2 linked regions of the Lytechinus pictus genome follow. The protein of the gene in region 1 interacts with the protein of each later gene in a pairwise test. Links are inferred from orthologs where the notes say so. Each region holds a gene or a part of one and is shown on either strand. Other genes may lie near its edges.

What was found.
Region 2: the proteins of E3 ubiquitin-protein ligase SMURF2-like (region 1) and spartin-like interact in a two-hybrid assay, tested with the Homo sapiens proteins (2 studies listed by BioGRID and IntAct). The link is inferred for Lytechinus pictus from reciprocal best matches to the Homo sapiens genes SMURF2 and SPART.

What each region holds. Positions count from the first base shown.
Region 1 is NC_087254.1:29,867,325-29,874,643, reverse strand, and holds the start of E3 ubiquitin-protein ligase SMURF2-like, read left to right. Parts: upstream 1-4,304; coding exon 4,305-4,317; intron 4,318-5,221; coding exon 5,222-5,330; intron 5,331-7,319. UniProt on the Homo sapiens protein: E3 ubiquitin-protein ligase which accepts ubiquitin from an E2 ubiquitin-conjugating enzyme in the form of a thioester and then directly transfers the ubiquitin to targeted substrates.
Region 2 is NW_026974140.1:18,553,479-18,561,622, reverse strand, and holds the start of spartin-like, read left to right. Parts: upstream 1-5,029; 5' UTR 5,030-5,402; intron 5,403-8,144. UniProt on the Homo sapiens protein: Lipophagy receptor that plays an important role in lipid droplet (LD) turnover in motor neurons.

The sequences.
Region 1 (7,319 bases):
CCTCTGCGTAGAGGGTGCTCTTAAATAGCATTGTCATCTCTAGCCTTTAAACAAGGCGCTGTGTCTGTTGTGATATTTATATCGCATACCTATACTGACTGGAAAAAACTACCGGTATTCACAAAAAGCCGAGTGAGTGCGAGGATTTGAGCTCAGTCACAGGGCCTTTAGGAACCCGATTTGGATTTCTTATGTTAATCATTGTTTCCGAATCGGAATCAAGAGGTAGCGGCCAATCAGCGAGCGTATTGCTCGCATCAATGAACCCCGTGTGACCCTGTGCCACAGAAGCGAACAAACCCATCCCATGATGTCATAGACACCGACGGTGCGGATTGGCGCATCGGCTGCATCAGCATGCTCATGAATAATTCATATATTCACGTCTTCACCAGATTCCAAAAGGCCTCGCGACTAAAGTCGCTCGCTCTCGCACTCACTCGGGTATCACCAGTTCTCTTCGACGTCCGCTATTCTAGTTTCATCCACTGCTTTGGCAAGGAATAGAGCCAAGTCACGAGGCCTTGTTAAAAGGCTATGTCATCTCAGGATTGTCCAGTTATTAAAAGCTCATTTAAAATTTCCCCCTTATTTTCCATTGCTGCAGAGAGTAGGCCCATACATGTACCTTTGCTACAGCGTACAATTCTCCGTTTTTTACAGGCCCAATGCATATGTTTGATGTATGGATGTACATGTATGTTCAAAAGTTACACAGAAGTTTTGTGGAGATGTAGCAATAGTGGTACATGTAGCCTACTCGACTTGTATGTGAAGCTCGTAGGTATAGTTTTCAAAGGAAAGTGATACTAGGGATCTCCTTTTACAAGGTACATACATCGGTCCCAATTATACCCACTCCCCTTCCCCTTTTGTATCTGTTTCATGTTCATATCATATGCACATATGTATACATGGAGGCCTGCTTTAATACAGATTGTTGCGGTCATAAACCCCTGCATCACAAGACAGACTTGAACTCATGTTATGGAGCCATGGCCCTCTCCACACAAGTACCTGAATTTTTTAATCCCTTATCAGATTTCAGGCTCTTTTAAGTACTGAGTAAACACAGACCATATTTCCTGTTCAGTGTAATATTCCTATTAGGAAAAAAATCCTGCCCTCCCAAATGTAAACTCATTCAGAATATTACTTGATGGTTTTATGACTGCATTGCTGTCTTCTTACCCCACATATCCAAAGACAAGCTGTCTAGCCAAGCATTGATATAGAAGGATTAATGATTGAAATATCAATGTTTGTGAGATTAAAGACCTTGTTCGTCATATTGAGAATTGAGAATTGAGAATTGATTTTATTCTGTCCATTTAGGAAAATATTCTTGTTGGCATTTACATATACACAGAAATATACAAAATCAAAGCGTAAAGATGAATTCTACAGAATATATATACATCACACATATTTGAAGAAAAATACATAATACAAAATAATTTCAATCAAATCGGTAACATTTTACTCTTAATCATCGTTATTATTAATATAATTATCATTATTATTATTATCAATCTTATTATTATCATTATGATTATTATTATTAATTGTATTATTATTATTATTATTATTGTTATTGTCATTGTTATTATCATTATTATTATTATTATTATTATTATTATTATTATTATTACTATTATTATTATTATTAATATTGTTTCTATTATTACAATTATCAATAATCAATCATTACTATTATCATTATCATTATTACAGGATATACAGAAAAAAAAAACATACAAAGAAATACAACAAACTACATACAGTCATACAAATAAGGGGAAAATACATAATATAAAATAATTTCACTCAAAATCGGTACAACTTTGCTCTTAATTATTGTTATTGTTATTTATTTTCAATATCATTATTATCATTGTCATTATCATTATTATTAATATTATTATTACTATTATCATTAATATAATTTTCCTATCATTATTAATTATTATTATTATTATTATTATTATTGTTATTATTATTATTATTAATTATCATTATCATCATTATCATTCATCATTATTATCATAATCATCATTATAGATAGACAATTGCTCATTCAATGCTTTCATTTCAGTCGATAGTATCAGGGTAATATTAGTAAATTGTATACATGTGTGAGAATATAGTAGGTGACTGACGAAGTGGCAAGATTACAGGCTTGATTGAAGTTGTTCGTTGTATTTTCGAATGGAGAGCGGCACAAAAGAATGAAGGAAACGCGATGTTCGAGCCCTCATTGATCTATACCGCCTTCCAGATCGCATTTGAATATAACATGAGTGGAGGGGGTGGTCCTTATTTTGTATGATCTGTGAGGCCTGTTTCAAGATTGCTTGAACGCATTCATTGGTCACATTTGCCACTTCTCCAGTAATCTTCCCAGCACAATTGGCTATTTTCTGCAATTTCTTCATGTCTTCTTGTCTGCACCCTCCGAACCAGACAACACAACTGAAAAGCATAACACTTTCTATCACTGATTTGTAGAAAAGCTTTAACAAAATTCTATCAACATTGAAAGAATTCATTTTCCGAAGAAAGTATAATCGTTGTTGGGCCTTTGTATATAGAGACTGACACTGATCCTTCCATGAAATTTCACTATCAACTATAGTACCCAAATACTTAAAGTTGTTAACATTTTCTATAACCTCTCCTTTGAACATAATATAGAAAGTCATATTCTCATTAAGATATAAAAAAAGGAGTATTGCTTTCAAGGTATGTCACTTTTATTGTGTGAGACACACTAACCTCTATAGTCGACCCATTCTCATTACAAGAATAACTGTATTCTGCTTCAAATACATGTACATGTACTGTACCTCTAGAGTTGACCCCATTCTCATTACAAGATTAACTGTATTCTGCTTCAAACATATACATGTAGGCCTACTGTATACATGTACATCTATGCTATCTGTTCTAAAATGCTCCATGTAGAAGCCACGGAAGTTGAACTGTCTTATTGCTATTGACAATTTTTTATGTCTACCGGTACTTATTAAGTTTTAATAGATACTGTAATACTTGACATACTTGATTGTTCTTTATGCAAGCCATAGCCTTGATAATCTGATTTGGGATTTTCCGCTCACATAATGAGCCTTTTCACCACTCTCTGTGGACCATTCAAACAAAGAGTTCAGAGCTCGAAAGCATCGCATTCAACATTCATTGGCTTTCACATCCTTTCATTTCTTAAACTTATCAACATTTTAAAAATATGATTGCTGCTTTTAAATGAATGCTCTATCTTGGTACATGTAACTAGGAAGCAGATTCTCAAATAATTATACCAGTAACTGTTTGCGGACATCCCATATCATTGTTGATTTGATTACATACACGTTTAAAATGAAATAAGAAATTACGACTTCATGGTTTTGTGAAGCATCTCATCGAATGCATGACTACCGTTTTTGCCGGATGTAGCAACAGCATAGGCCTATTGGCAGACTGGATTCAGGGAAGTGTAATTCATCCATTAATGGGTTAAAAAGAATTACTTGATTTTACAGGAAATATCAGAAATCAAAGTGAATCAGAATATATCATTGTCTATTCGGCCTTCAAAGTAAAACCTTGGACAATTACTTATGTTTGCTAACTGTTGCCAAGGAGGTACTATTGCCTTGTTCTCACTTTACGTTTCATTGATGGTATTGGTTTGGCCTGCATATGTCCTACTTTCACTGAAACCTACTTAAAATATAGGCATTGTAATGGCTGCTTTGGGAGTACGATTCATGGGTCATTGTCAGGGTCATAAATAAAAGAAAGGGACAGACGGCTATGTTAAAGGGAAAGTGAGAAACTCTTGTGGGAAATGACAATTATCATATTTTAGAAAGAATATCATCAAAGTTCTGAGGTACTTGTACTCTGCAGAGGATTGCTTCTCAGATGCCCGATATTTAGGGTGTGACCTAAAACAGCTGACATTTTGGGGCCATAACATCTGTGTGTAGTCCCATTCATGTATTTCTGTGTGCCATTCATGTTTGAATCTCAGCAGATTTCAGTCATTTTCTCTGATTCCCAAATCTTGCAGTATGCATGAATCCTTGGGTGCATACATATGTACATTTAGTCCAATCACTTTGAGACAGCTGTTTCCATGGTTCAATCTCATGACCAGAAATGATGCTCATTTTACATCGGTTGAGAGCAAGAGCGATCACTCATTGATGTTATATTTCCTTTTTAAGTTATTGTAAGTGCTTTGGGAGCAGAATTATTCTTTGTTATTCTATAATGTACAGCACTTTGGGCATATTACTATGGAAAGATGCTGTAATTGTCAAAATGTACATGTATGACATTGTATGTCTTTATACAGTAGTTCTAAGCCTGCTTTCGGTTTGTACAGGCATTGTGTACTACATGTAGTTTGTAAACACTTCAAATTGACCATCAGTTATTTTGTACTGAGCGGTATGGTGTGCAACATTTGGCATGTCTGAAACTGAATTGATGAAAAATTGCTTGTACCATGGAGCTATGTGTTTTATAGCTCCATGCTTGTACCTTCTCCGCAGTAATTGTGTTATATGTTTGCATTCTTGAATGTACACCATGAAGATGCTGCTTCATGTATAACTGTAGTGCTAACCTTATTGTTCTTGTGTCCTACATGTAGAACCTAGTTTGGTGCCAGTTACAGTATGAATTTAATTTCAAGAAAATAATGATGCAAAAGCAGATATATTATTGTCATTGAATTTTATTCTCTTTTAATTCTTAGAATTTAGAATCAATGTGTAAATGATCAATTTTTTAGTTCACTGCTTTTAATGGCAGCAGGACAATATGAGTGTGGACTTTTCTGAGAGGCTTTAATACAAAGTCCTAACATTTTAAATTTACTCTTGTCTCTGTGAACAGGAGGGGGGGGGGGTGGATTGACCTCACACTTGTTGCAATCACCCTGATCTTCCTTCCACTTTGCATGAATTTGTGCATCCTCCATCCACAACCTAACATTCTTGCTCTCTCCATTTTGCTCCTTCGATGACATTTTGGTCTTTCCCTCCACAAACTGCCAAACTCATACCCCATTACCCTTTTTAAGATATGCTCGTCAAACTTGAAAACCAGAAATCTGAACAAACACTACTTCAATAAATGTTTTATTGTATTTATTGAATACATATCAATATATATTTTTTCTCTTGCATTCTTGTTTTCTTTTCTGCAGGGTTACCGGATCCCTTTGCCAAGGTAGTGGTTGATGGATCAGGGCAGTGCCATTCTACAGACTACTGCAAAGGAACTCTCGACCCAAAATGGAACCAGCATTATGATTTGTGAGTAATTCAAGCATGACTGACATTTTCCATCTTTTCCCTTTTATATTATGGAGTGCTTTGAGAGGCATGGTTGTTTCTAGAGGCTCAAGGGGACCGCAACGCGACTATGCCCGAGGGCATGGTCTGGCAGATGCGGTACCTGCGAGCCGAAAGAAACAACCGTGTCTCGAATATAAAAGCAGTCCATATATATTTTATGAACCAAATTAAATGTTAGATCTAGCCTAGGGCCTAGTATATAAAAAAATTCTAGGTCTAGATCTTAAACAAGTTAGGCCTAAAAAGCCCTAGATCTAGCCTTTCTAGGCCCCAGGCTAACGTTAGGCCTAGATCTAGGCCCTAACTTAGCCCTTCAGCTGACGTTAGGTCTCGAAGTCGAATATCAAAGCAGTCCATACCGTTAGTACTAGGTCTAGATATTTTAGGAACCAAATTAGGGTCTGAATAGATCTAGACGAGATCTAGTCCAATGTTAGCAGTCTTTAATCTCCATTAGAGTCTAAATCTAACATTAGATCTCGACTATGTCAGATCGAAATTAAACGGAACATTAGCCTAGGCCATCTAGATCTCGAGTCTACTCTTAACTTCTAAGCTAAAGTTAGATCTAACAACATTACCGGTACCTAACGCATCGTTGTTTGGCATACGGGCAATTCCATGGAAAATGTTCACTTTCGAGAAAAAATGAAGTTTCAGATTTCACTTAAGCAGTCAAATTTTCTTAAAAAGTAATCTATAAAGTTTCAATTTCCAATAGAAAAATCACAATATTGATAAAATTTTGTGTTTTTTTCCATCATCAAAAAAATAAAATAATAAATTGCAAAATATAAAAAATGTGGCTATTTTTAAACAATTCATCTTTCCTGTCTCTACTAAAAGCAAATAAGGTCCCACAGGTCTCTTTTAACTTTTGTATCGATGATTAATGTTTAAATCAACAGAAAATCATTGTTATATTTCATGCCATTCATCAATTTTAGAGAAATCGATCTTCAGATTAATGTGATTTCTTTACCATTATCAGTGTCATGTCCGTTACGTTTTTCACTTAAAGTTTTCACAGCTTACAGGAAATTTGTCTGAAGGTACTGCAGATTCAGATTCTATGTTAGAATTAAACCCCCTACCATGTGTAGCAATCATTTTCCCTGACCACTTCTCATTTTCATAAAAATGGCGTAACGGACATGACACCTAATATATGACAAAAGGCAGCATTCACAAAAACAAAATATTAGGCTCAGTGTCACAGACTGTGGTCAGTCTCAATTGCTTGAGGATAGCTGGATGTAATAACTCCTAGAATCTGCATGTCATTCTAGCTATTTTTAGAAGTTGGTAAATGATGAAAGTTCAGCTCTTGTTCTGGTATATTTTTCTGAGAATTAACGGTATGCCACATAATATTAGGATAAGATGCAGCTAAATCTGGCAACATACTCAGATCACAATCTGCATCATTTGTGTTTGAACAATAATTGATTATCTTAGGTGTTTGCACTGACAGTTTGGAGCATGATAAAACTCCAACTTGTGAATTCATGAGATCTTTGATGACATTGCTTCAAAGTATCTGACTTTCACCAACCCTCAACTTCTTCAGTGATGGCACTGGCTCACATTTAAAACAAGTTTGTAAATATTCAGATATCTGTGTTACATGATGTAGCTCTATGAATCCATGAATCTACAGTGGCACTTCTTCATATCACAAAGCAAAGAGGCTGTGGAAGGAATGTGGCGCGATCAATAAATTATGTCATCATAGTATTTTGGTCAGCCATAATCATGATTTGAATGATGTATCTTCGTTTGTACACAAGCAGCGCAGACAATACAATGAAATTAGATACAGCCACATTTGTCAGCAAGCAAGATCGTAAGATTTAGTACATCCAAGATTTGATGAAAGGATGATTATACCAAGGATCTTTATTTTGAATGAAAAAAATCTCAGAAGCGATTTACAAACATTCCGAT
Region 2 (8,144 bases), on another chromosome or scaffold:
AAGCGAAACTTTAAAATGTCATAACTTTCTTATTTTACATCCGATTTTGATGAAATTTTCAATGTTATTCTTGTTTGATTTTTCTGTATTGATTCAAATCAACATTTTTCTGGGGTGGACTTGACCTTTAAGTTTTATTCTTTTCCTCTACCATTACACTTGCAAGTATTGTAACTTTGCATTATAACCTTGATTGTCATTGGCTGCTGAGCCTTGTTACCATGGTAGTTAAATAATGTCAAAGTTACAACAGTTGTACGTTTCTATGAAATGTCACCTGTTTCCTTTGTCATATGAGATGTCTATTGTTCTTATACTTTGCTTCCTAACCATAATGTGATAAAAGTCACAGTGTACAGTTTCATTGTAAAATTTTACTTGAAGTTGTGTATCCCCTCATATCTCTACCTCTATGAGATAAAACATGAAGACTCTAACTGACAACAGTATACATGTATACATGCAAAAATAATACATAAACACACTTAATTACTGTATGTTATCAGATGAACATGGACGAGGGTTGCATTCAACTCAATATCCAGGTTTTTAGCACTGATTCGCTTTTTTGACACTTCAGGGAAAGAAAAAAAAAATTGAATGATGAAATTCAATTGAAATATTTCTTCCATGGTAATTGGTTTCAGACCGCAAATAGTATTTTAATTATGTTGGATTATTTTTATGAATATTTGTTTCAGCTATTGTATCTTCCCCCCTCATTTCTTCCTGATGTGAGTTGATAGAGCTACACAGCTTTCTTAAGAGTATTAAATATTCAAATGAGGAATGAAAAACACAAAATATTTCATTTTAGATCAGCTTGTTAATGAAAGTGGTAGATTCTATGCGACAAAACTCGAACAGAGAGACTTATTCTTCTGGTCTTTATATATCAAGATAAGATTCAAGAATATAAAACATCAAAATACAGTTGCAGAGTCATCTCTGCAATGCAACTTTAAAAACTGTTTCGTTGTCTCACAATCTGATAGGTTATTTTTCCTTTCAAATAAAGATGGTGAAATGTTTTGTTGTTGATCATGATGAGCAAAATGAGAATCAACCTTGTTACTCTAAAATCCAACTCACTTGCCCAGAATATTGAGATTTCCTTTCTTTTTTATAAGAAGATATTTGATTACATAGCAATAATTTTCTTGGCTAGATGGCCAGATAATGTAATATGTAATGTAATCTTAAATATCGCTCTGAGAATCTACAACTTATCCCAGAAAACTATAGCTTCCTTTAGTTTCTGATGATTCTTATAAATGATGGGCCTTTTTTCCTATCATGAGGTGGGTGGACACCTTTCTTTTAATTGAATGAATAATTGTATGAAAGTACTGATATCAAAGTTAACACAGTAGTGGTACTGTTTAATTGTTCTGAGATCTAACCAGCTATACTGTGGAATAGTAGTGCATTAAATCATGTCATTTTTATAGATCATGTATTATTCATAGAACATTGGCTAAATTTTAAGAATAGATGTTATTAATTTTTTTTTTCATTTAAGAGAAATCTTTCGGAAATCATAGAAAAATAGGTTTGTCATCTTTGAAGGTGGAACATTAACATGTACACCAAATTGTTTGTGGTTTTATTTTTACCAATATATTTCTTATGCATTGATAAAAAAGTAATGCTTTATACTCTTTTGTGATATAAGATGATATATACACATTGTTCTCATACTTTTCCAAACAGAGAAAGATTAAACTAAATAGATGTACATTATGGGTACAACAACATGAATAGATATCTAGTAAGATTATTTTCTTTATGTCAGGGTAAGATGCCTATAATTACATACAATCAAATATTCTTTACATCCAATGACGACCTGTCACCTTTATTTAATGGTCACATTGTCACCATTTACAGTTCTCTTTAACATGGTTTCTCTTGCAACCATACTTTTGCCCATAAATACCATCTGACATAAATACAAGTCTTCTTTTGTCCCAGAGTGGTCTTTATAATCTTGTTTCTCCATAATTTATTTTCTCGAGGATAATATTGGATTTGCTCAGTGTGGAGATCCTTTCAGGATAAAATGGTCAAAATGTTCCCCAGGGAATTGAATCGCTTGGTATTTAATGGCTTTGAAATTAGATCTCGTGGTCCCTATTTAAGAATAAATGTTGCAAAATGCTCCCCAGGGAGTGGAGATGGTAAAGGAATAAGATAAGTCAATACCAGCTTTGATCACGGGGGATGATATTCCTGAAAATTTGATAATAGATCTCTTGTTATGTATGTCCAAATACATGTTGAGTATAATACCAGGGTAATAATACATGATCTTTTATTGGTATTCCTTTTAAAATGCTATGCTATGCAAAAAGTACATGTATGTTCCACGTCAATCTTTTGTTGTTTTACGATGAAGCATAATGCTGTTCACTCTTTGTATAGAAAATTCTGTTCACTTTTCCTGTATTATTCGTCATTGGTGACATTTTTTATTACTTTTGATTTCAGCATGAAATGTATGTAAATTAGATATTCCATCTTTGAAAACTAAAATTTGGTATACATTTAAAAATGAAAAGGGGATATCCATTGATGTGTTATGGTCATCATACCAATGTTCTTTTTTAATATAGGTCATTCCACACTATCAATCATTCTAAATAAAAGTATTTATGTACTACATGATCGTAAACTTTAAAACAGTATTAATGATACTATAATGAAATACATTAATACCAGTTTGAGTGAATGTGAAGATACATACTATAGCAATCTGAATGATGATTAAACCTAAGTAATAATAATCACTTATGGTAGGTTTTGTACCTTTGTTACAATATCACAGTTTTCTTCATAAAATTGATACTTATTGTTTGTTTTTCCCAGACTAATGTTAAGATAATATATGTACACATGTATGGTAAACTACTTTCAAGGGTTTGTTGGTTCTTTTTTTTTCAAGAAGCATTATTTTTTTTTAATCTCTAGTTTTTCTTATTAAACCTTGATCTATCCTGGCAAACATGGTAAAACTTTCTCTCTTTTCATCTTTGGTGAGCGAATTATGATGACATTTTACATCAAAATCATGAGTATTTTTGTATGGAATCTTAATCAAATCATGTCTTATCTATTATCTCCATTTTAATTTTTAAATCTTTGTTGTCAAAAATATGAAATAGATATATAAAGTACAAAATATGAATGTAATATGGACTTGTGTTTATGTGCATCTGTTGCTTTTAATAGTGACATGAATAAACCGCAAAAACAATATTTCATAATGTCTCATAATTTTCTTTAATGTGTTTGTGGTAAAGTAAACTTACATTAACAGTTAAAAGCTACTGAAATCCTTCAATCTGATTGGCTGATAGTGTATTCTTTATAAAAGATGAGCATTTGTTATATATTCTCTTTATGAAACGGGACCCATGAAGATATAGAAGAATGGAAATGACGATGATAGTGAGAGAACTTATATGAGAGATGAAACTTGAATATTTTGGAAGGCAGGAGGAGGAGAGACCCATAAACAAGTTGTTACATAATCAACAAAATTTTCTGTGGAATGTTTCCAATCTCACACTGATGAAATTTTTCAAGAAACCAGTCTAAAGGCCAGGAGCCCCTACATATGTCGAGTATTTGTCAAAATTATTCTCCAGCTTCGCTAAGCTTAGCTATATTTTTTTATGATTATGAAATCATTTACACAAGTATTATTTTTCTTTAGTTTTGAACAGGGGCCTGTTTCATAAAGGACTTACAACCGTTGTAACTTTGCCATAATGGCAACTACCATGGTAACCTTGATTTTGATTGGCTGCTGAGCCCTGTTGCCATAATGGCGACCCGGGATGGCAACAAAGTTAACTCTATGAAATGGGGCTCCAGATCCAGCTTGTACCAATTAGAAAATTGCCTGACTGCAGGTTTTGACGTTGTTGTGGGAGGGGCCTAGTACGTCATATAATTGTAAAGTCAAGAATGTGAGAGGGGGAGATGAATGAAAAAAACACAACACATTGGCAAAAAAGAGAGAACACAGATGTAGGTATAGGAGGTATAGGCCTAACGATTTTTTTTTTTTTTTTTTTTTTAAGAGGACTTGGCATGCATAATAGGAGTCAAACAATCTGACTTATTAAAGGGGAATCCAACCCAAACAAAAACTTGTTTTTATAAGGAAAAGAAAAATCAGATAAGTTGATAGGTGAACGTTTTAACAATATTGGACAAACAACAAGAAAGTTGTGAATTTTTAAAAATTGTAAATATTGGTAATCACTATACCCATGGAGACTTCAAATTGGCCGCATATGGGATGTCATAGTGATGTAAGGCAAGGACTACTCTTCCATGTACTCCAATACACATTATGGCTAAAATGTCATTTTTTCCAAAAGTTTTATTTCAAATTATATTTTTCTTTCATGAGGACATAAAACAATATACTATCTGGGTTGTAGTTAGATTACTGCCCCAGGGAAATGGGTACTTAGGAGAAAACCACAAATCCCTGATAATAAAGTACATGGCCTATGGGAAAGTTGTCCTTGCCCCTTGTCATAATTTACTTACTCAGTTGCCAATTTGAAATCTACATAGTATTAGTGATCTCAATTTTAAAGCAGCTATAACTTTCTTATTGCTTGTCCGATTTCTTTCAAACTTTCACCATTCTGTTAAATTTATTTTTCTTCTTCCCAACACAACATTTTATGGCCAAGGCTGGATTCCCCTTTAAGGAGGGGGGGGGGTGGGTAGAAGGAAATAGAGAAAGAAGTATACTGAGTGTGTGTAGGCCACCGCACACCTTACGACTGTTCGCGATCCGATTTTGGAACAAATCGCATTTTGCTCATTTTCTGAAAATGTGAATGGAACATATCATTTTATTTAAGGTTAAAATTAATTGAAAGAATGCTAATATAACCATTTTGAAAGATTGCAAGCCTTTATTTTGGAGTAAAGGCCAAATTAGTTTGAAATCGTAGCCAATCGTACGACTGCGATGACGTCATTACGACTAGATATTAAATTCGCTTTTATTTTAAGAAGGATGATAGCATAGTCACAGATTGAACAAAGGTATTTGTACGATGATTTAGAACATTAGAAAGTAAGATATTCCAAGTCTCAGTATTAGCATCAAATTCTACTACATTTATTCTGAAATCGGGTCGCAGACCAATCGTAAGGTGTGCGGTCGCCTTTAGATGTCCAAAGGGGCTGCTTGGGGAGAGTTTATAAAGAGCCCACTCCACCCCCACCCGTCTGAACCCACGTGCAGAGATAGTGGCAAGCATGATATGACGTCGTGTTTATTTTGATTCATCATCATTCGATCATCGAAAGGAAAGTTGTGAGACAAGAAGACCGTCATTTAGAACCTCCATTTTCACTGGCTTCAAAAGGTGTAAGTAATTTGTAACTTAATGGACAAATTGTATTACTTTCATACTACGATGTATGATACTTGGAATACAAGAATTCTTTTTTATTGTCGGAAGTTTTAGTTTGTCATATTTCTGGAGCTCTGGAAGAACGTATATGGTCCCATATGTTCGTTATTATGTTAGTTACTGTATCTTTTTGTATGGTTTGACTTTGAGTCGCAGCTAGCCTGGAGGCCCGGGGGGGCCACTTCCATTCACGAGTGGATACCATGCGCGACCATGTGGTCTCGAAAAGCACCCTAAACACGTAATTTCCATATTCTGAAAATGCACCCCTTAACAAGTATATACTATGGGCGTCTAAACCCTACCCTTAACAAGTATTGGAAATAAAACGATACTCTTGGCAAATATTTCCTGAAATGAACCCCTAAACAAGTACAGGAATGTTTTATTGTTACGGGTCCTTCGGTCTTCGTCTTACCTTATTTGGTTTAGTACGACCCCACCTTCTACACCTCGCGCAAATCGGACTCTAAACACGAAGTGTTGGGGCAAAAAGGACATCCTTTATTAAACATTTTAATTTTGTTTTATCATCCCCGCAAATTCGACCCTAAACAAGTAATTTTCCTAGCGAAATAGATACCCTTTTTTCATTATTTTTGTGTTTTTGACACCCTTATCACGTTACGTACGTAACGTGCCCTATCGTGAAAAAGACATCCTTTTTACGTGTTTTTTTGGTCGCGCATGGTATCCACTCGTCAATGTAAGTGGCCCCCCCGGGCCTGGAGGTAGACCAAAAGCTTCGGTCTCTGTTATGTTGGTTGTTCAGCTGAACTCCGTTGGCTTCACTCACCAAATACAGAGACCGAAGTTCTAGGGCGATCTGTACAGGGGACTCAATGGCCATATGTTTATGTACTTAAGATCGGATAAAACGGGGAAGTGAATTTGCGCGACAGCCGAGGTAAGTCACTGTTTTTGTTCCTTTTAACTTGATTTTTCTCAGTTTTTTGGCAATTAATGCCAAGAGGGAATATTAATTTGCATTTTGGTCGCGTTAATTTTCAAAATTTTTATTCATTAAAGACAAAAATTGAAGAGCCCCGACGGGGGGATTTTGCATTGCAAGTCCCCTAATGGTGGCTGCACGCTAGCGAGCCGTCTGTGTACGAGGAGAAATTAAAAAAAAAAAAAAAAAGTTAAAAAACTTCTCGAAACAGACGGCTGCCAGCTGTCTAGCCTGGAGGCTACTGGCGGGGGGGGGGGGGGGGGGGGGGTATAGTCGCGTATTGTATTACCGGACACTATTATGATTCCGGACGCGCATATTACTGCGTTCGAAAACAATTTTGTACTTCCGCAATTCAATTTCACAGAGCAATACATAGAACAAGATCATGAAGATTGCAAAAACAAGGCGAAAAAATCCAACTTTTAGTTTACCTTATTTATCTCTAAAATGACAGAAAGTGCTTAAAATATCATAGTTTTGCGAAATTTTTGCATTAACAATTGATATATTTTCTAACGGAAATATGGGCCTGATTTGCCGAATTTCAATCTCGTCCACTCCTTAGATCGAATGATGAGGTGTGGTGTATTGTGGGTAATCGTCGACGGCTAGTTCTCAAGGTACCCATGCGCGAGGTTTACCGTGAGTAGAGCCGTGGATCGGCAGCGCATCGATAAGACTTGATGAGCGTCACGATACGAACGCGAGCATATTGTTATTGGAAAGTGCCATGGAACATGCAGCTAACAAAAAAAAATAAAATAAGGTATCAAACACGAAATTATTACTAACATCTGCTCAGATTCGATATAATAAAAGCAAATAAAAACTTAGAATTTACTCATGATATGATATAAGAAGAAAAAAATCACACAAATTTGTTCTTACATCATTATAATCAAGGATATCTTTACCTGTCCGGCGCGCGTCCGGAATCATGATGTAATTTGTCGCGCACAAAAATAATTGTTTTTTGTGGAGGGGTATGCGGCAAGTGCGATGCAAAGAAAATGGTTGGTAAATATAAAATAATTTTATCATATTCATAATTTTCATAATATTTGGAATAACAAGTGTGAATTTTTCTTGATTGTATTTCCTCTAGTTGTCATTTTTAAAGCACTGAAATAAAGGTGTCCGGCAATAGGATACACTGCCATACTCGACCAAAAAATTAGTAGGAAAGTGCCGCTGGCGAGACAAAAAAACGGGGGCCTTGGAGCGGGCTTTTTGTAAAAAGTAGGGTCCTCGGAACGGGCTTCAGAACTACAAATGTTTGTGAAAACGGGGGTCCTTGGAACGGGTCGCCTGCATGTGAGTGCGTGTGCATCCCTATGGAACGTGCATGCAGCTAGCCCGGCGGCACGGGCGCCGGGTGCGCTAGCGCAGAGGCGATGGTCGGACAGCGCTCTGCGGCCGCTTTTCACAAAAATTGCGGATCATTGTAGCAGATCAATGCGGCCGGAACGGCGTAACAGAAAATATGCGAAGCTTTGGAGCGGATTTTTTTCTTCTTTTTTCTCGATAAGAAGAAAATGCTATGCTTTGGAGCGGCTTTCTTTGTTCTTTTTCTCAATAAGACAAAAATGCTATGCCTTGGAACAGAAATTTGAGTGTAAAAATGGGGGTCCCCTCCGCAGCAAATACCCACTATATGCATTATATACTGAGTCCCCCCCCCCCCCCCCGGGGCTTCTGGAGAGTAAAAGTCATTTTACTGACGTAGGCTTACTCTCCAT